Ovis aries: one gene and its partner. The protein of the gene in region 2 interacts with the protein of the main gene of each other region in a pairwise test. Links are inferred from orthologs where the notes say so. Each region holds a gene or a part of one and is shown on either strand. Other genes may lie near its edges.

Region 1 (10,279 bases), on a different chromosome or scaffold from region 2:
AGAGTGATCTTATTAAGTCTGCCAATCCATAAACACAGGTATTTTTCCATTTATGTAGGTCTTCTTTTGCTTCTTTCAATGACATTTTTGAATTTTCAGGGTATAATTATTACACTTTTTTTGCTATATTTTATTAAATTACTAAGTGTTTTATTTATTTTGATGCCATAGTCAATGAATTTTTAATATCGATGGCTCTTACTATTTAGGGACCAGTTTGTATCTTCTACTTTGTCAACAAAGGTCCATCTAGTCAAGGCTATGGTTTTTCCTGTGGTCATGTATGGATGTGAGAGTTGGACTGTGAAGAAAGCTGAGCGCCAAAGAATTGATGCTTTTGAACTGTGGTGTCGGAGAAGACTCTTGAGAGTCCCTTGGACTGCAAGGAGATCCAACCAGTCCATTCTAAAGGAGACCAGTCCTGGGTGTTCACTGGAAGGACTGATGCTGAAGCTGAAACTCCCAATACTTTGGCCACCTCATGTGAAGAGTTGACTCATTAGAAAAGACCCTGATGCTGGGAGGGACTGGGGGCAGGAGGAGAAGGGGACGACAGAGGATGAGATGGCTGGATGGCATCACTGACTCGATGGACATGAGTTTGAGTGAACTCTGGGAGTTGGTGATGGACAGGGAAGCCTGGTGTGCTGCGATTCATGGGGTCGCAAAGAGTCGGACATGACTGAGCGACTGAACTGAACTTGTACCTGTTTTTTTCACTTCAATCATATCATAGACATTTCCCCAAAATTATTAGAAATCCTTCTTCAAATTCATTTTTTAAGACTATGTATTAGTGCACTGTATATTTCCACTCTTTGAGCAAACTCTGGGAGATAGTGAAGGATGGGGAACCTGGTGTGCTGCAGTTCAAAGGGTCACAAGGAGTAAGACATGACTTAGTGACTGGGCAATAAAGCAACAATGATTCCACTGTAAGTTATTTAGCCATTATCCTGTTGTGGAATATTTAGGTTCTTTGCTTTTTTTTCCCCCATTTTATAAATATTCCTGTAATAAATATTTCTGCTGATCTTTCTATGTCTGCATTTCAGATTATTTTCTTATAAGTAGTCATGGCCCCTTCCAGCACAAAAGAACACAGCAAGAAGTTGCCAGATATGAATCAGGAAAAGGGCCCTCACCAGAAGGTCATCAACCTGGTGCCTTGATCTTGGACTTCCCAGCATTCAGAACTGAGAGGGGCCAAGACGGAGGAGTAGAAAGACCCCGAGCTTACCTTATAAATAGTCATGTATTCTTGCTCTCTCATAATGGCTTTTATTTTGCACAACTCTTGTGAAGAGTTTGAAGCCCCTGAAATTTTGAACTCCTGGAGGCCCATTTCTTCTTTTGCAACCCCACATAGCCTCCAGGGACAGGCCTGCAGGGGCCCTGACTTCTTTTACCCCCACAGCACTGTGTTCTGACCTTGCCACAGCTCTCATCACTCACTGATATAAGTTCATGGTAACTTGTTACACCCCCACATGATCGAGAAGCCCAACAGAACATGGGCTGGACCTTTAGTCCTTGGTCTATAGAAGACCCTTAATAAATATTTATCAAATGAGTGAGCCAGGCAGAGTTCAAGTTCCTAGGCCAGACTCAGAATCTTGAGTCAACAAGTTATGTTGTTCAGTTGCTCCGACTGAACAAGTTGTATCCAACTCTTTGCAACCCCACGGACTGCAGCAGGCCACGCTTCCCTATCTTTCACTATCTCCCAGAGTTTGTTCAAACTCATGTCTGTCAAGTAGATGATACCATCCAACCATTTCATTCTCTGTCGCCCCCTTCTCCTCCTGCCCTCAATCTTTCCCAGCATCAGGGTCTTTTCCAAGAGTCGGTTCTTCTCATCAGGTGGCCAAAGTACTGGAGCTTCAGTTTCAGCATTAGTCCTTCTAACGAATATTCAGGGTTGATTTCCTTTAGGATTGACTGGGGACTCTCAAGAGTCTTCTCCAACACCACAGTTTGAAAGCATCAATTCTTTGGTACGCAGCTTTTGTTATAGTCCAGCTCTCTCATCCATACATGACTACTGGAAAAGCCAAAGCTTTGAGTATATATGTCTCTGCTTTTTAATATGCAGTCTAGTTTTGCCATAGCTTTTCTTACAAGTAGCAAGCGTCTTTTAATTTCATGGCTGTAGTCACTGTCTGCAGAGATTTTGGAGTCCAAGAAAATAAAGTCTGTCACTGTTTCCATTTTCCCCCCATCTATTTGCCATTAACTGATGGGACTGGATGCCATGATCTTAGTTTTCTGAATGTTCAGTTCAACAAATTATGGCCATTAGATTTTCAGAATGGCCGACAAAGAGTATGCTGAACAGAAATTGTGGGCTGAAAAGGGCCCTTGACCTATTCATGAGTTTTCAAACTTCTTTTATGACCACAGTATAATATGTAATATTAGATAGACAGGGGAGATAGAAAGGGTGGAATATTGAAACGGTGGAAATAAAATCAAGTTTGTAAAGATGATTGTACTAGTCCAACATTCTAATTTTATAGACCAGTGAAAGGTTGCTCTCGAGCAGGAAAAGGACTCAGATCTGACTGCCATTCACGAAACGCTCCTCTATTGAATCCAACCTCTGAACAGTATATTTGAAGCATTCCACATCACTTATGAAAGCATCTACAAGCCCACTAATCAAGATCCATTGTTTAACGTATTGTTCCCATGTAGCATATTTTAAAAGTAAAACTAATTTCATGTTTAAAAAAACATACTGGAATGAGGTAGTATGACATACTGAACAATTGTGACAAAGCTTGAGTGAAATGGCAGCTTTTCTCTTTGAAGATCCTAGGGGGCGCTAAGTTACCGTAAATATTAATGTGAAAGTGAAAGTGAAGTCGCTCAGTCGTGTCCGACTCTTTGAGACCCCAAGGACTGTAGCCTACCAGGCTCCTCTGTACATGGGATTTTCCAGGCAATAGTCCTGGAGTGGATTGCCATTTCCTTCTCCAGGGGATCTTCCCAACCCAGGGATAGAACCCGGGTCTCCCGCATTGTAGACAGACGCTTTCCCGTCTGAGCCAGGGAAGTCCAAATATTGACACAGGGATGCAAATAAGGGAAAACTTTTTTCTTTTTCCCTTCCGATTTTAGTTCCTGGGTGGCTCAGTGGACCCTAAGAACACTGTGGGGATGAGAGGATGTGCAACCTCTCTTGCTGACTTCTTTGCAATATGTTCTTTCCCTCTCCTGCTCAATGGATTCTCATACTTATAAGGCAAGTCTGAACTCCTCAACCTATTATGCATTCCGGGATTTTGCCTCTCCAGTCCCACTCGAGCTTCCAGCTTTGCTTGGGCTAGACAAAGTGCTTCTCGAAGTCAGGGCTCGTGTCTTACGCATCTTTGTATCACCAGTACCAAAGAAGAACAGGTCCTGGCACACAGTGGTGAATCAAAATGTGTTTGATGAACGTATTGAAACCTCTTACCTCTAGGATTTTATTTAAAAAAAAAAAAAAAACAAACTGTCCCTGCAAGCTGAGTATTCATCCCTTGAATTATTAATCACCTCAGAGGTACTACCTCCTTCTCTGCCTCCACGAATCTCTCAGGCCACTCTCGATGCTTTCACCTAAAATTTTCCTTTCTCGTATTTGTGCCTAGGACTAGTCAATGTTGGACCCAAAGCTATTCTCCGAACCCCGATAGAGTCAGGTAGGACTGAAGTCACTTAGCTGCTCAGGGCCTGCTGGGAGGCAATAAGTAGAATACCTCTCGAATCTCCAGAAATGGGCTAGCTCTGGGGCGGAGTTTCTATGGCAACCATACCGCAAGCCGGCCTCTCAGTTTCTCCGGGGACCACAGAGACTCAGTTCCAGCGTACATCTCTATGGTTTCCACAGCCTAGAAGGGTCGAAACAGCACTTCCGGGAAGATGGCTGCGCACAAGTCACGTTTGTCACATGTTTCTGCGGAGAGGATCTCGCAATGACGGTAAGGGGCTACAGTCCCCCGAATGGTGACTGTCATAGCCCGGGCTCAGGGGCAAATGTGACAGAAAGAGAATAGTTTTACTCAAGTGAAGCTGCGGTCGGAGGGCTGGAGTTTTAACCTCCACAGGAAGGAACCCTAGGGAAAGGAGCCAGCTCTTCAGAACCTCTGTAAGAATGGTAGCCCAGGGTCCCTTCTCCAGAAAACTCACGTTGACTGGAAAGAAGACAGTTCCTGAAAGTGTGCTCACAGCCTTCGCAAAGACTGCGAGCACAGCCTGGTATCTAGCTTCTGTCCACAGTTAGCTGTTCTAGGTCGGTTAAGGAAATTCCCACCTGTGTCATTCAGTTCAACAATTAAGGACTGAACGCATTCAGGAGCTGCATTAAGTGCATCAGGGGTTTGGGAATAAGACTAAGCATAGGCTGTGGTATATAATATAATTTCAAATTAATGCGACAAGGCATAGGCTGTGTAAGTCTTAGAGTGTAAAGCGTAAATGGCTATGAGCCTGTGAGTAGTGATTGAGAACACCAGTTCTGGAGTGCCTGAGATCCTAGATCCGCTACTTAACCAGCTATTTGATTTGTGCAAGTAGCTAAACTTTTCAGTGCCATTTCTTCAGTTGTAAGTTACAGTAAAAACACCTCCAGGGAATTCCCTGGTGGTCCAGTGGTTGGGACTCTGTACCTTCACTGCGGAGGGCTGGAGTTCAGTCCGTGGTTGGGGAACTAAGATCCTGCAAGGAACCCGGGGCAGCCAAAACAAAAACCCAAAACACCTCCCTGTGGGGTTGTTGGAAGGATTAAATGAGATAATATGTGTGAAACAATTAGCAACATGCTGGCATGTGGAAGGCTGAGTATAGAATTTGGGTTTTGGTATCAATGGCAGGTCCTAAAACAAGTCCCCCGCTGATAACTGAGGGATGACCGTAGTTGGGAATATAATAGAAGCCGGGCTACTATACAGTCATGCATCCTGGGCTCATATTTCCAGCTACATCCCTTACCAGCTATATAAGAAACCAGGCAAGAAACCGAGACTTTATTTTTCTCCTCTATAAAATAATATCTGTCTTACAGAACTGTTAGGGTTAAATGAGACAGTATAATAGTATGTGTAATCCTCCTGTTAAATATAAGAGCGCCTTTCCAAGCTGGACAGTTTCAAAAAGGGTGCTCCAACAAGACTGAAAGACAGTGGTGGTGAAGCCCCCACAGTGTAAATGCTGGGGCACAGGTATAGGATACAGGCTTTATTAAGCACTGCTGTCTTATAACTGGAGGAGGAGATGGCAGCCTACTCCAGTATTCTTGCTGGGAGAACCCCATGGGCAGAGGAACCTGGCGGGCTACAGACCAAAGGGTCACAAAGAATCACACAACTGAGCACAGACAGATATCACTCAGGTTAACAAACATCTCATTGCTTTGCTTTGTTTTTAACATGGTAATAAATCATGGGAGATATTGTCAGGTAGCGGTAAAGAGTGGGAATTCTGCAGACCAGCTGCCTGAGTGTGAATTCTACATGCATCAGCTGTGTGACCTTGAGCAAGTCACCTAACCTCTTTAGGCTTTAGTTTCCTCATTTGAACAAAAGGATAGTAATACCTTCCTGAATGCAAAGTTTAGGAAATCTTCCTGGACTGGGACGGTTACATGAAATGATCCATGCAAAGTCTTAGCAAAGCCCAGCGTGTGGTGAGCTCTCCATAAATTTAGGTATTATTGTTAATACTGGTCCTCCTTGACTTTCAGCATGTTGACCTCTCAGTGGTCAGGGAGCTCCCTAAGGACCAGGCCTCCCAGCTTGATCTCTGTTCCAGCTCCAGGAAAGAATTCTTATAAGAGCGGTTAGGATGGATTTGGTACATGATCTGAGCACTTTCTCCCTTCCTCTTAAAGGGATGACAGTGACTGCTGCTTCTCCAGTGAGAGCCTGAAGACAGTGACTTTTCTCACCATGAGTATCACCCCCGAGGTCAAGAGTCGGGGGATGAAATTTGCTGAGGAGCAGTTGCTAAAGCATGGATGGACTCAAGGTGATTCCCAGGGGGCCCCTTCCACATCCCCCAACTCCCTCACTACCCTCTGCCCAGGGGAGAGGCATTATCCTGGATTAACCTCTCTGTAGTCTGTTCAACGGAAGAGGAAAAGTTAAAGAGAAAATTTGCAGAAGAAAATTCAGCAATTTCCAGACATTTCCAGAAAAGGGAAGAAATATGACTGTGGATAGTGAGAAGGAAGTGGCTGAGAGAACTGGGAGTGGGAAAGAGATGACCTCTGTCCTGAGAGAATTATGGGAAAAGAGAGTTTGGGCTCAAAGACATGAAGACCGTATGGAGAGGGAGTAGGAAGAGTGGAACTGGGAGGGTTTCTGAGAGGGACAGGGCACGCTCAGTGCTAGGTGTGTGGAATGACAAGGGCATGTGCCAGGGTTGCTTTGTGAGGGCTTAGGGCAGGCAGTGGAATAAGCCAGGTCATTCGCTGTCTTCTGCAGGCAAAGGCCTGGGCCGGAAGGAGAATGGTATCACCCAGGCCCTCAGGGTGACGCTGAAGCAGGACACTTATGGGGTAAGACTGGACAGACTGCGGGAGGTCAGTGGGGATGGGAGATGGGGGCCTTGAAGATAGGGTGAGGGAGGGGATTGACAAGCCCTGAGTTCACACTTCTCTGGCAGGTGGGACACGACCCTGCCAAGGAGTTCACAAATCACTGGTGGAATGATCTGTTCAACAAGACTGCAGCCAACTTGGTGGTGGAAACTAGGCAGGTATAAGCTCTAATAGCAGGCATGTAACACACGAGGGCCTGGACACATGGGGGTGAGGGAGACGTGGCACCCACTCACACATACTTCCCCCAGGATGGAGTACAGATAAGACGCCTGTCTGAGGAGACCACCCGTCAGGATCACGCCAAGCCCAACTTGCTGTATCAGAAATTTGTGAAGGTATTAGAGGCTGGGGGTGAGAGGGCCCACCCTTTCCCCTTCCCTGGTCTCTTGGGGTCTGAACAATTGCCTTGCATGCCCTACCTGTTCTCAGGACTGTCCTAAGTGGGGTCCTGGGACTAACCTCGCTGTTGCTGACCCAGACTGCCCAGATCCTCAGCAAGAATTGAAATCTTCAGGCTGCATGGATCCCTGCCCTCTGCTGAGGGGGCTGCAACAGGGAGTGGGAGGCGGAGGACAGTCAGGAGCTGCCAGAGGAGAGCAGGGAGGGGACATCTATTTCAAAGGACTTAGAAGCCTGAGGAGACCTGAGAGATTATCGGACCCATTGTCTTTTATTTTGCAGATATGGCCAGAAGGGGGGAGGTGGCTCACTGAAGAGCCCACAGGTGGCTAGTAACTATAAAAACCTGTTCTAGCCAAGGACTAGAACCCAGGTGTTCAGACTTCCCTTTTCTAGCGTGCCAAAGGAAGGGAGCTGACATTTAATGATCTTCCATTACCTGCTTAAAGGCTCTACATGTTATCCAGCAGATCTTCCCCATTCATCTCTGTGGCCATCTTCGGCCCCAGTTCAGACCATCATCTCCTGCATGGTTTCTTCCACAGCCTCATAACTAGCTAGGCTCCTCACTCTAGTCTCAATCCTCGTGCCAATCAGTTCATCCTCCACAAAGCGTCCAGAGTGTTCTCTGTAAAACACAAGTTTCACTGAGTCACTGGCTCCTCCTTGACCTGGGATGACACAGTCTACAGGTGTCAGACTGACGCGGATGGCCCTTCAGGCCGTGTCCTCGCCTTCTTCCCTAGCCTGTTTCTCGCCACTTCTCAGGACCTCTGTCTACTCTTTAGCCAGATTGATTCTGAATCTTTTTCAGGTACCATGTTTTATCACCTTCAAATTTTTGCATATGCTCCCTCTGTCTGGGACATTCTGCTTCCTTTACCTGCTGACCTTTTCGTTGTCTTTCAAAGCCGAGTTACTTGTAGGAACTATTCCCCAAACCCTGAAGCCTGAGTCAGGTATCCCTCCTCTAGCAGAGATAATTGTTGTTTAAGTCATGTCTGACTCTTTGGGGACACTATGGACTGTAGTCTGCCAGTATTTTCTTCATAATTGCCTACATTCTGCCATATCTCCTTCCCTGTTAACCACGTAGGATCTATGTTGGCTGCACCCATCTCATTCTTACTCCACTCTGTATCCCCAGCCTTTTAATCCATAGTAGGTTCTTAACCTGGTTAAAGAACTGTGCATAGGTATTGGCCCAGGGGCGGGGGCGGGGCGGGGCGTGCACAGGTTGTGAAAAGAACCATCTTTGTTGTCTGTTGCTAGAACCGTGAGATGACCACCGGGGGCACTTGTCCCACTGTGAAGACCTAATGACCCGAGCACTTGTCCCTCCCTTCTTCTTTTGCCCACTAGCTAGCTGGCTGTGGGCCAGGGAGCCAGGACTGCCCCTGCCCCACCCATTCCCAACTGCAGCCCACTTCCTGCCCAGGCTGACATATGCAGGTTGGCACACCTCTGTGGAGGTCTGTAAGAAGTGATGTCAGGGGCTGACAGATCTGTGCCTCTGGCTACTTGAGATGGTGGTTGGGAGTGGTTTCCAGAAGGGAAGTGGGATGACGGTGGTGTTGAGTGGGCCTTGTCCATCCCCACGATTCCTCCTTCTAGACGGCCACACTGACTTCAAGTGGGGAGAAGCCAGACAAGGACGGGGAAAGCTGCAGTGATGACAGCCAGGAGCCCAAGCCTCCGAATGTGTGAGACGTCTTTCTAGTGCTGGGGCATATGGGAGGAGATGCCTTCAAATCTCAGAAGGACGGACCAGTGTAATGCTTGGCTGTGGTCTTCTTGGGGGGTGGAACTCTTGTACTAATCTTTGGCACTTCCAGGTCCTGAATAGGAACTCATTGGTGAATGTTTTGGAGGGGAGGAGAGGTCAAGCCTTTCCATCAGATCCATTTGTAATTCCTGATTCCCACCCCTCTCCAACAGGCTGACCGATGAGATGCTGCTCCAGGCCTGCGAGGGACGAACAGCACACAAGTAAGTAGTGGTTGGCTTCTTGGGCTCCCTTCTCTCCCCATCACAAGCCCACCATTGAGGGTGGCCTGTGCCACTCTTTTCACCCCAGAGGAAATGATTCCTACTCTTTGCCCATTTCTGAAGCTGCCTCAAGACAGGTAGCTCCTCCTTACCAACTTTCCCTGCAGTCGCAAAGATGAGGCTTCTTTTCCCTGATGGCCTCCCTCTGACTTGGGCCCCATCTATTTCAGGGCTGCCCGTCTTGGGATCACAATGAAAGCTAAGCTTGCTCGCTTAGAGGCCCAGGAGCAGGCCTTCCTGGCTCGGCTCAAAGGCCAGGACCCTGGGGTCCCTCAACTGCAGTCTGAGAGCAAGCCCCCCAAGAAAAAGAAAAAGAAAAGGAAGCAGAAAGAGGAGGAAGAGGCTACAGCAACTGAAAGGAGTGCAGAAGAGTACTCAGAACACACTGACGAGAGCATCAGAAAAAGCAAGAAGAAGAAAAGACGGCATCAAGAAGAAAGAGTCACAGATGAGAGAGAGGGCACAGCTACAGAAAATGAAGAGACCACAAGAACAGGTGGGCTTGGGGAATTGAAAAACAGAGAGCACATCGACCGGTCCCTCAGGAAAAAGAAGAGGCAGCACCGTGAAGAGGAGAAGGTGGAGCTGGCGGTCTTAGATAATGAGGGAGGCAAGGTGGCTGTCAGTGGAGTCGGGACAGAGGAAGTGGAGAGGAGAGTATACACTCACCCACGTGGCAGAAGCAAGAAGAGGCGGCAGCATGAGGAAGAAGACTTGAACACAGAGGATGAAGAAGTTGAAGAGGCTCTCGTAGATAGTGGGACCAGAGAAGCAGAAAGCACATCGTGCAGTGATCAGAAAAGGGGGAGAAGCAAGAGGAAAAGACGGCAGCATCAGGAGGAGGAAGTCTTGGATGGACCTGGCGTCAACACTGCCCAGAAAGCAAAGAAGAAGAAGAAACGGAAGAAGAGAGACTGAAGGCCAGGCCACGGCGGGGCCCAACTGACGCCCCTCCAGGAGCTGAGGCCTCGGGCCTGAGCTGACGCAGGTCTTAGGCACCCTCTCAGTGAGGAGTCCCTCCCGAGGAGGAAACAGCCGTGGAACAGCAGTCCGCTGAGAGGAGAGTGGTAGTGCCGTGTCTGAGTCGACAGAGAGGCAAGTCCCCCTTACAGAATCTAACCCAGAGATGGTGAACTCAGGCACCTGCAGGGGCCAGGCAGCTAAGGGACCAGGATGCGGGGAGCTGTGGCAGTGGGAATGCAGACATCTGAAGAGACATCTTGGCTAAAGAAGCTGAAAATGTGG
Region 2 (9,626 bases):
TCTAACTTTCCAGGGGGGGTTAGGTGCTTTTTCTGAGCTCTCACAGAGCCTGAAGCCACCTCTACCATGGTCCCTCCCTTGCTCAAAGCTCTCCTGAAGAAGTCTCTGTGGTGCTGAAACTGCTTTCTGTCCTAACCTGGGTTTTGCTTTCACGGGTGTTTACATGTACAATAATGTAGCCAGCTGATATTTGGGATTTGTCCATTTATAACTGTATGTCAGTTACAGCTTAATTACAAAGTAAATAACCAAAAACAAGTAACAAAACATCCCCAAACCCCTGTCATCCTCAGGAGAAAAATCAACACTCTTCAGCCTGGCATTGGAGGGTCTGGTTTTTTGTCTTCTAAGATCTAGCCATGGCAAATAGATGGTCACTAAGAATGAGCTGAATGAACAAATGGCACGTCCTTTCCTGCTGGCTGTTGGTGACATCTGTGTGTCTGCGCGTGGTAGCCTACATCTTGTTCTCCCTCTTTCTGCCAGGAGTCTCCCAGCTGCCCTTACAGCGAGGAGTGGTCATGGTGAACAGTTCTGGCTAACAAGGCAGAGTCTGCTGCTGGCTCTGGGAAGGCTATAGCTTTCCTTTATAAAAAGGAAGGGATGTGTGTCCCCTTCTCCCTGCAGACATCACTTATGAAGCTACAGTGTTGTCTCCTGAGCACAAGGGAAGGGCCAAGAGAGGTAGAGAGAATTACAGCACTCTGTCCCAATGCTGTGGAGACTGAGCTATGGGCTGACAGCTGCCCTTCTTCAGACTTGGTTTGTGAGGAAACTATAACCCCTAGTATTTTGCTATCATTAAAAACCCAAGAGACTGCACATAAAAACCCAGTACAGAGGTGTGGCTCCTGGAGCACTCTATCTGGGGCCCCTGACAGCGGGATAATCCCAAGTCACAGTGGCACAACCACGGGAATAACAGTAGAAAGAGCCCCAGGAAGTCACCGAACTAGACATTGCTCTGCAGGGGTGGGGCATGGCTCACACTGGAGGAGGCTGGAGGTAGCAGAGCTGGAGGTGGGGCCATGTGGGGGGCGGGGACTGGCCCAGCAGCAGGACGGAGAGCAGCAGCAGCAGCAGGCCCAGGAGCGGCGCCGGGATCAGGAGGTGCCGGCTGACCCTGCGGGGAGGCGGCACAGTGCTCGGCGGCGCCCTGGGGAGCCCGTGGTGTCCAGACGTCTGACCACCACCCTCCTTCTCGAGATGCTGTGGTGTGCACCTGAGCCACTGGAGGCGCAGGGGGCACAGGCAGAGCTGGCCCCAGACTGGCCTCCTGACTGGGACCAGCTCCTTCACCACGGGCACCAGGGCTTGCTGCAGCTCTGGTTCTGAGGGGCTGCTAAGGAGAAAGGAAGGCAGGGCAACGGTGTTGGTCTTCCCCTCGCTCCCCAAGTCCCATCCCAGGCCCCTGGGTCCCACTACCTCTCAGGAGGGTTTCCAAGGATGTCTCCAGGGTGTGAGTCTTCTGGATGGATGGGGAGGTCCACCTGGAAGGACAAAGGGGACAAACGGTCTCAGGTTTGCTGGACCAGGAGAGGTGCTCTAGTCAGCCCACTGGACAGAAGTGCGCACACGGAAGGGGGCAGGACACAGTGGTTCTGTGTGAGAGCCTCCCCAACACACGCTGCTGCGCTGGGCTCCCAGCTCTGCCAGTTTCCTGCCGTGTGGCACTTGCACGTCACCCCACCTGTCAGGCCCCACTTTCTCCATCTGCCAGACAGCGGTGATGACAACGCCCACCTCAAAGGGCTGAAGTGGAGAATGAATGGGAGAATGTGGGCAAAACCTACACTGTCAGGAGGTGGGCTTAGAACAGCGCCTGGCGGACAGCACCCAGTGACTATGTGAGCTATTCAGTATTATTATTTCCACTTTCTGTCTGATTCTGGAAGCACCCAAGCCCCCTGAGGTCAAAGACTCTGTCTCCTCCAGGAACCCAGCCCTGGCCTGGGCCTAGTACAGCATGGACACTCCTCGGGTCCATCTTCCTGCCCTGCACCAGGCCCAGCAGGTATTTTAAGATTAAAGCCCCCAGTACTCCTTACTTTACCACGTCACCCCCCATGTGTTTCTTTTTCCCTGTGTCTTTCTGAAAGGGTATCCCCTCTGCAGATCTCAGGCTTTCTCAGGCCTGCCTCTGGTCTGTGGATGACGACTATGGCAATAACAATACAATAATAAACAAGGAGTTCTAGCAACACCCTGGTCTCAGCCACCGTCTTCACCACGGTCACCTACAGTGCGTCGGCTCTGTGCCAGGCACTTTATGATGCGATGCTTAACCTTCATCCCCACCCTGGGAGCTGGGTAAGATCGTCGTCACACTAGCCGTGAGGAAGCTGAGGTGGGCCCCAGTCTCCACGGATGGGAGTGTGGTGTGGTGGGAAAGAGGTGGGCCAGGGAGAGCATCTTGGTCAGCGTGGACCCTGAAGAACCCCAGGTGCCCAGAACGGAAGCCGGCACACCTTCTGGCTTCTGACCTCACCACGTTTCCTTCCTCTGCTTCCTCTGCCTGAGAACCAGGATTGCCACCTGCCGCTTTGAGGAGCAAAGGAGCTGCCGTGTGTGGTGCCGGCAGGGCAGCTATGACAGATGCGGTGCCCCAGGAGTTCTGGGCTGGCTGGGGAAGGTCTGGCTCTTCTGGAGTGTGGGCATACATATGTGCGCATTTGCGCAGTCTTGGGGTGTAGCCACGTCTGTGGCAGAGGCTGCGGCCCCATGTGCAGTGTGTAGGGGGGGTCCCCTGGGAACATTCTAGCTGCCCACTTGCCTGAAGCCTCCCTCTACAGCACTGTCTGCTCTCATTAGCTACAGCGAGGGCATTGTTAACTCTCGGCCAAACGATTTTTCTGTCTGTTTGGGGGTGTGGGCAGGGGCTGGGGAGGAGCTTTGACTACAGAAGCCTCATCTGAGGGCCTGAAGTGAATGGTGCCGGGGACTGCCTACCACGACCTGGATCTCCGCTTCGTCCTCTTCCTCTCTTCTGGGCAACCTGGGGCGACAAGAAAGTCACTGCAAGCATCTGTCTCCCCTGCCTGGCTCCCATTCACCAGCTGTGTGGCAGAACCTTTAAAGCAGGAGGTCTTCACGTACATGGACCTGGAGGGTGCCCTGGAGCCCCGCGAGCAGACTGTTGCGTGTAGGTTAGCATCTGTATTTTTTCACCAAATTCCCCAGAGAGTCTGTGTGTGACCCCTAAAGGGTCAGGGGCCCCTCCACCTTATTGGCTTTCTTAGCTGCTCCTTTCCCAGCAGGTCCCCCAGGTGATCAGAGGCTTCTGGGTCTCAGACATCTCTGAGACCCTGCCCCCTGCCCCAGCTTCCTGCCTGGTGGGCTGGGCCATGCTCAGGGAGTCTGGGTCTCATTGGGTCTTCTTGGAGAACTGGGACTCCAGCTCAGGCTTCCCTGACTCCAGAACTCAACTCTGTGGACCCTGCCCCCATCCTAAGTCATTTCTCTTAGGTGTGCAAGCCCCAGCCTCTGTGCCCCCGTGGTCACAGCTGCCTGAGCCCCTGAAACAGGCGCCTCTCTGGGGACTCAAGACACAAGCTGCCCAGCCCCAACGTTCCTTGGAGCCTGAGATGTCTGCACCACCCATCACCACCTTCACTGGGGACCAGGGACCCAGTGATCTAGCCTTAGCCACCAGTTTCAGACCCAACACCCTCAGGATACAGCTGTTTCCTCAATTCCGATTCAGTAAGGCACCCAGGCTCATAGGCCCCCAGCCTCTGGTTCAGTCAGATAACCAGCTGTCTTATCCCCTGGGATTTCTATGGTGGGGTGGGAGTGTGGGGCCCAGCCCCTCTCAGTATCTGGGCCCCACAGGACTCACCACTTCCCTCACTCCCGGCTTCCCACTTTGTGGACCATACTGCTCTCCCCTGCCCCAGGGAGACTGGGATGCCCAGCCTCTACACCAGCTCTGGTGCCCGCTGCTGCTCAGCGCTGTCTTCTTTCCATTCCCTGGTGACGCACGGGGAGGTTACAGCGCCGGGGGGCCCCCCATCCCGCCCAATCTCAGCTTTCTCAGACAACTCCAATTAGAGGCCGTAGCAGGCAGCCTCATTAGTTGTCACAGCCAGGAGCCTGAAAGAGGGGAGGAGGGAGAGAGAGGCCCTGCAGGGAGGCGGAGGCCCCGTGGAGGAGGGTGGGCCCAGACATCCGGTGCTTTCCCTATCTTTGGAAGCTGCACACAAGCCTTGTAATAGTTGATTAACAGTCACAGGGCGCGGGATTGCCCCATCCCATCACAGAGTAACTAAGCGGGGATCTGAACCCAGGCTGTGTGATCACAGAGACCCCAGGGTATCCCAGCTGTCTGAGTGCTCTGCTGGGGCACAATCTAGGTCTCATTTGCACCAGGGCTCCTTGGGAGCCTTAGAGAAGTGTGTTCAGTGACAGTGACTGAGTGAGCTATCCCATCTGCCTGACGGCTGTCTTCTTGCCTAGGGGTCTCCTATACGAATACTACTCCCAGAGGACCCTAAGCAGGGCCTCTTTCAAGTCTTTCCCCCAGGAGGGGTCAGGGGCTAGATGTCCTCCTGAACTACCAGGGTCTGGGGGTAAGGCTGGTCTGATTCATTCTGGTCCGCAGGCCCAGGATCGCCTCTGCGCGAGCGAGGGGCCCAGAGGTCACGGCTTTGCATAAGCCTCCCCTGGGGCTCTTCCAGGCCTGTACTCCAGCCATCTCAGAGTCACCCAGGGGGCCAGAGGGATGGCTCAGGGAGGACCAATCTCCTTACCTCGTGGATGGCTCCTCCCTTCCTTCCTGAGGCTGCGCTGACTCTTCCTGCGAGTTTCTCTGTGGGAAAGAAAAGCCTAGGTATCCTGGGCTTCCCCACCCACTTCTAAAACCGGCCCTTCTCCTGGGCTCCCCCTCAAGGGTGGCTCTACCTTCCCTCCAGGGGCAGAAGCCCGAAAGTGGACCAGTAGTTTTCCTTTGGGACCAGGAATTCAGGTCCCCCTGAACTTCTGACACTCCCACAAGCCTCTCACACTCATCTGGGCCCCAAAGAGGCTCAGCATTTCCCTTCCAACCCCCTTCTCCTCCCAGGTTCCCAGTTGTGGGCACCCAGGTCCCCCTCCGTTTTCTCTGAAGACATCCAGCCTTGCCTGTGGCCTCAGCCACCACCGAGACGCCTTTCTAAATGCATCACTGCGCTCTACCCTCGTGCACCCACTACCTCCGGGGCAGCACCCCCCATCCCTCAGGGTGCTCACCTTAGGGGGTCACAAGGTAGGTTCAGCGTCTGTCTGTCTACCCCCTTTTCCAGAACCCAGAGCTCTTAGCCCCCTGTTGGTGAGTTGGCAGCTCTGTCTCCCCTGCCTAATTCTCACTGCCTGTCCCTTTTTCTCTATCCCAAGGCCCTGGCCTGGCTCCAGCTTCATCCTCTAACTCTGGACCACTGCCCCAGCCTCCTCCCTGGCCTCCCAGTCTCCCATGTGGCCCCAGAGGGATCTTTCTGTGCAGCACATCCAGAACTGACCTGCCCCTCCCCACGCACTGCCTCTCACCCTCACTGGCAGGGAATTCCTTTCATGATCCGGCTTCACCTCATCTCTGGCTAGTCACTCCCAACTGCCCTCTACCTTCCAAACGTGTTATGTGGTTTCATGCTCCCATGTCCTCTCCGCATACTGTTCCCACTGCCTGGAAGGCCTCTCCTTTCTCACACCACTTAACTTCTCTTATTTCTTCAATATAAACTCAAGCGTCAGTTTCCCTGTGATATCTCCTATTCCACACAGGTATTCCCTTTCTCTGGGCTTCCCCAGGGCCCATCCCCCAATCCCCTAGCACACAGATCATCCTGCATTGGGATGGCCCATTTTCATGATCTATCAGGTCCTGAGCCCCACAGGGTCCCCAGGACCCAGTGCAGGCAGCACGCAGAGGCCTGGCTCAGTCTTCCCCTCCAGGAGGCGTCTGAGCACTCTCAGCGGAAGTTCTGATGTACACTTGTGGGGCTTCCTTGGTGGCTCAGCAGGAAAGACTGCCTGTCATTGCAGGAAACACGGGTTTGATCCCAGATCCGGGAAGACCCCACATACGGAGGAGCAACTAAACCCGTGTGCTGCAACTACTGAGCCTGTGCTCCAGAGCCTTCTTGCCCTAGAACCCATGCTCCACAACAAGAGAGACCACTGCAATGGAAGCCCGTGCACAGCAACTAGGGAGTAGGCCCCCACTTGCCTCAGCTAGAGAAAAGCCCTCGTGGCAGTGAAGCCCAGCACAGCCAAAATTAAATATAATTTTTAAAATGCATGCTTCCCCTGAGGAATGCAGCTGTGCTCCCCACAAGCTGTGTGATCTCTCTCTGAGCCTCAGTTTCCCAAGAATAACAGGGTGAGGGATGAGGGCGCCTACAGCCCGCAGAGACAGTGGGAGAGGGCAGAGAGGAATCCAACAGAAGATTCTCTCAATTCAGAGAAAAAGCGAACAGAGAAACTGTCTCTTTCAAGGGTGGTGAGCAGCGAGGAAGCAGTATGATTTTCAAGACAATAAAGCATTGTTTACAGAACTTTTAGCAATATTTTCTTAAAAAAAAATCCTCCAGTCACTAACAGATTACAAATCTCACTTTTCAACTGTGAACACTGAATATGAGCTGTCTTCATTGTTTCAAATGAGGTTTGAAATATTGTTCAGGTAACTACAGATGATGGCTATTGTTGGATTCAGGATTACATAGTGGGCTTGTTTTTTCTTAAAGGTTTTTTTAAAAGGTAAATGCTTAAAGTACCTACATGGTATCAGGAAGAACAATTCACTTCCTCCCTTCCCACCTTGTAACATTTTAAATAAGGTGATTCTGGACAGTGCTTTTGAAACCACCCCCACCCCATGAAATCTGCATGTTTGGTTGGCTCACTTCCACACCAGCAGGCCAGTCCCTGGAGGGCAGGGGTGGTGTCCTGTCTGGCCAGGGGCTCTGAGGCCAGCACCCAGCAGGCCCTCAGTCCACACCTGCCTATGGGGTGGGGAACAGTGAACGCGTCCCGGGCCCCGCTCCCAGCCCCTGGACCCAGCAGTCTCAGGGCTCTCCTGTGCTCACCTGCCCCCCCGACGGGGTTTCAGGAGGAAGCTCATCCTCCCCATCCGCCTCACTGACCACCTCCTCCCATGGCCACACTCCACACAGTGGGCTGGAGAAATCGATGGGTGTCTCCTCTTGCTTCTGAGGCCAGGGAGAGGCCAGTGAAGGCAGAGGTCAGGGGTGGCATGGAGATGGGCTGAGGCATGAGGTTGGGGGCGGGGAGAGTGATATGAGGGTGCCTGGGGGTCCGTGGGGCAGCACCGGGAAGGGTTTGGTGCCTGGACCAAGGACTGGGACAGGGATGAGGTTAAGAACCGAGGTGGTCCTGGGAGGACTGGAGTGGGGTGAGAGTCAGGGCGGGGTCAGAGTTGCCGCTGGCGGTGGCTTAGGGTGTTCTGGGGGTGTCAGGCCCACCTGCTGAATGGCCTGGATCTCCACACCCAGCGACGGCGGCAGCAGGTTGGTGCAGTCCGCTCTCCTCACCTGGGCCCCTTCGGATAACCTGGCCACACAGTCAGGAGGGGGAAGGCTGCCTCCATGCCCAACCACCTGTCAGCCAGCCTATGCTGAGGCTACTGCCCTGCCCACCTTGGGGCTGGACGCCACGGTGGGGGCTCCCTGTCCTTGGGCTCCCCTCCTGCTTCCTCCTCCCCCGTCGTTCTACTCACTCATCCAGCCCCTCCTGGGTCTGACTCAGCTGCTCCTCCAGGTGGGAGATTTCCAGCCTCAGTTCCTGCAAAGGAAGGATTGAGGGACCCCTGGCTCTGCCTTTTCCCCAGCCCCATGTCTGGGCTCCTCTTCCAAGGCCAGGTCCACTCCTTTGACTTCTTTGGGATCCTCCATACACATACAGACAAGGAGAGAAGGGGAAGAAACAGTAGCAGAAACTTAAGAAGCCAACGAGAGGTAAAGAGCAACAGGAACCCAGAATGTAACCTATCGGTCAGGAAAACTAAGAAAAGGAAAGCAGAGATGGAAACATATGGGAAAATGAGAGACACACATAGGGGACAGGGAGGCCTGGCGTGCTGCGATTCGTGGGGTCGCAAAGAGTCAGACGTGACTGAGCGACTGAACTGAACAGCCCTATCACACACAGATGGGGAGCAAGAGACTGTGAAGACAAGGGACAGAGAGAGGAGTAACCCCAGGAGACAGAGAACTGACCCAGAGAGCGGCAGAGACTGAAACCAGCCAGGCAGGGACACAGAAACAGGGGCAGGGCAGACACTGTGAGAAATCACCCACAGAGAATCAAAGTGGGTGGGAGATGGAGATACAGAGAGAGGAAGGACAGAGGAAAAGTGAAAACGCAGAGAGAGAGGGAGGGGGAGAGACGCACACAGTCAAGCAGCAGTGATGGTAGAAACAAGAGGTGGAGACTCGGAAAAAGATCATCAGACATAGGAGGAGGCAGGACACACCCCAGAGATGGCAAAACAGAAGCAGGGCCTGTGGCCGGGCCAGGGGGTTACCTGGGTTGTGGCTCTGTACTCCTCCAAGGTCTTGGTCAGGCTCTCCGCGTGGCGAGTGCGCTGGGAAAGCCCAAAGCTGATTGAGGCCGGGCTCAACCCACCAAAAACTCTGAGGTCTGGTCGCAGGGGAAGGGGGGTCGGATGGGTGTGATGGGCTGGGGGCAGAGCAAGACCTGAAGAGAGCATCAGCTTCCCTGGAAACCCTCTGACCTCTCTGGGCTGAGTCTCCAAGGATTAGAGTCTAGTATGCGTGCATGGCTAAGTCACTTCAGTCATGTGGACCGTAGCCCGCCAGGCTCCTCTGTCCATGGGATTCTCCAGGCAAGAATACTGGAGTGGGCTACCATGTGCTCCTCTACAGGATCTTCCCAACCCAGGGACTGAACCCGCGTCTCTTACGTCTCCTGTATCGGCAGGCGGGATCTTTACCACTAGTGCCACCTGGGAGGCCCTAGAGCCAAGGAGGATTTTCCTTTGTAGACTTGGGGCAGGAGACACATCGAAGGCACATTTCCCTCCAGCCCACTCACCTCGGAGAGGATGGCGTCTCGCTGGCAAATGAGGTGTTCACACTCGTAGAGCTGCCGCTGCCAAAGAAGGAGCCCGTCCATCTGTCTGGCCTGCCCTCCCCGGCCTATCCCGCTCTCTATAGCTCCTCTCCTCAACCTCCCTTCACATCTCTGGACGTCAGCTACCCCGAGGGGGACTTCAGTGAGTTGCCCACTGGCCCTGGGGACCTCAGAGCTTGAGTCAAACCCCTGATCTCACCAGACCAAAGGGGCTGAAACTGATGAGGCTAAAAACGGGCCTCAGGGAGGTAGGAAATCGTCAAGGCACTAGGGAGGGGTGCCACCTTCAAGATGTCCTTCTCCGAGGCCAGCTCCTCACTCCTCCTCTTCACTCCATCCCGCTCGGCCAGGAGCTTCCCATTCTGGAAGAAGGGACCCTGGTCACGATCACGTCAGCAAATGGCCATGTTAATACTCAGAGAAGACATGTGCTGAGCACCTGATGTGCATCAGGCCTCATGCTGGGCACCCTTTCTCTTTTTCCTGAGCCTTTCAGATGCGGCTTTAATTATCCTTCAATGGCAGCCTTTCTAAGACTT

Evidence for each region.
Region 1: the proteins of KASH5 (region 2) and G patch domain-containing protein 4 interact in binary tests that used the Homo sapiens proteins (3 or more experiments, as listed by UniProt). The two-hybrid records come from large-scale screens. The link is inferred for Ovis aries from reciprocal best matches to the Homo sapiens genes KASH5 and GPATCH4.

What each region holds. Positions count from the first base shown.
Region 1 is NC_056054.1:106,561,884-106,572,162, reverse strand, and holds the start of G patch domain-containing protein 4, read left to right. Parts: upstream 1-3,891; 5' UTR 3,892-3,965; intron 3,966-5,872; 5' UTR 5,873-5,930; coding exon 5,931-6,009; intron 6,010-6,467; coding exon 6,468-6,541; intron 6,542-6,648; coding exon 6,649-6,741; intron 6,742-6,834; coding exon 6,835-6,921; intron 6,922-7,237; exon of another isoform or gene 7,238-8,599; coding exon 8,600-8,688; exon of another isoform or gene 8,689-8,923; coding exon 8,924-8,974; intron 8,975-9,204; coding exon 9,205-9,952; 3' UTR 9,953-10,279.
Region 2 is NC_056067.1:55,606,204-55,615,829, reverse strand, and holds the end of KASH5 (protein KASH5), read right to left. Parts: intron 9,450-9,626; coding exon 9,372-9,449; intron 9,106-9,371; coding exon 9,049-9,105; intron 8,579-9,048; coding exon 8,519-8,578; intron 7,777-8,518; coding exon 7,712-7,776; intron 7,546-7,711; coding exon 7,458-7,545; intron 7,185-7,457; coding exon 7,062-7,184; intron 4,808-7,061; coding exon 4,749-4,807; intron 2,996-4,748; coding exon 2,950-2,995; intron 1,491-2,949; coding exon 1,426-1,490; intron 1,343-1,425; coding exon 1,232-1,342; intron 1,124-1,231; coding exon 985-1,123; 3' UTR 188-984; downstream 1-187. UniProt on the Homo sapiens protein: As a component of the LINC (LInker of Nucleoskeleton and Cytoskeleton) complex, involved in the connection between the nuclear lamina and the cytoskeleton.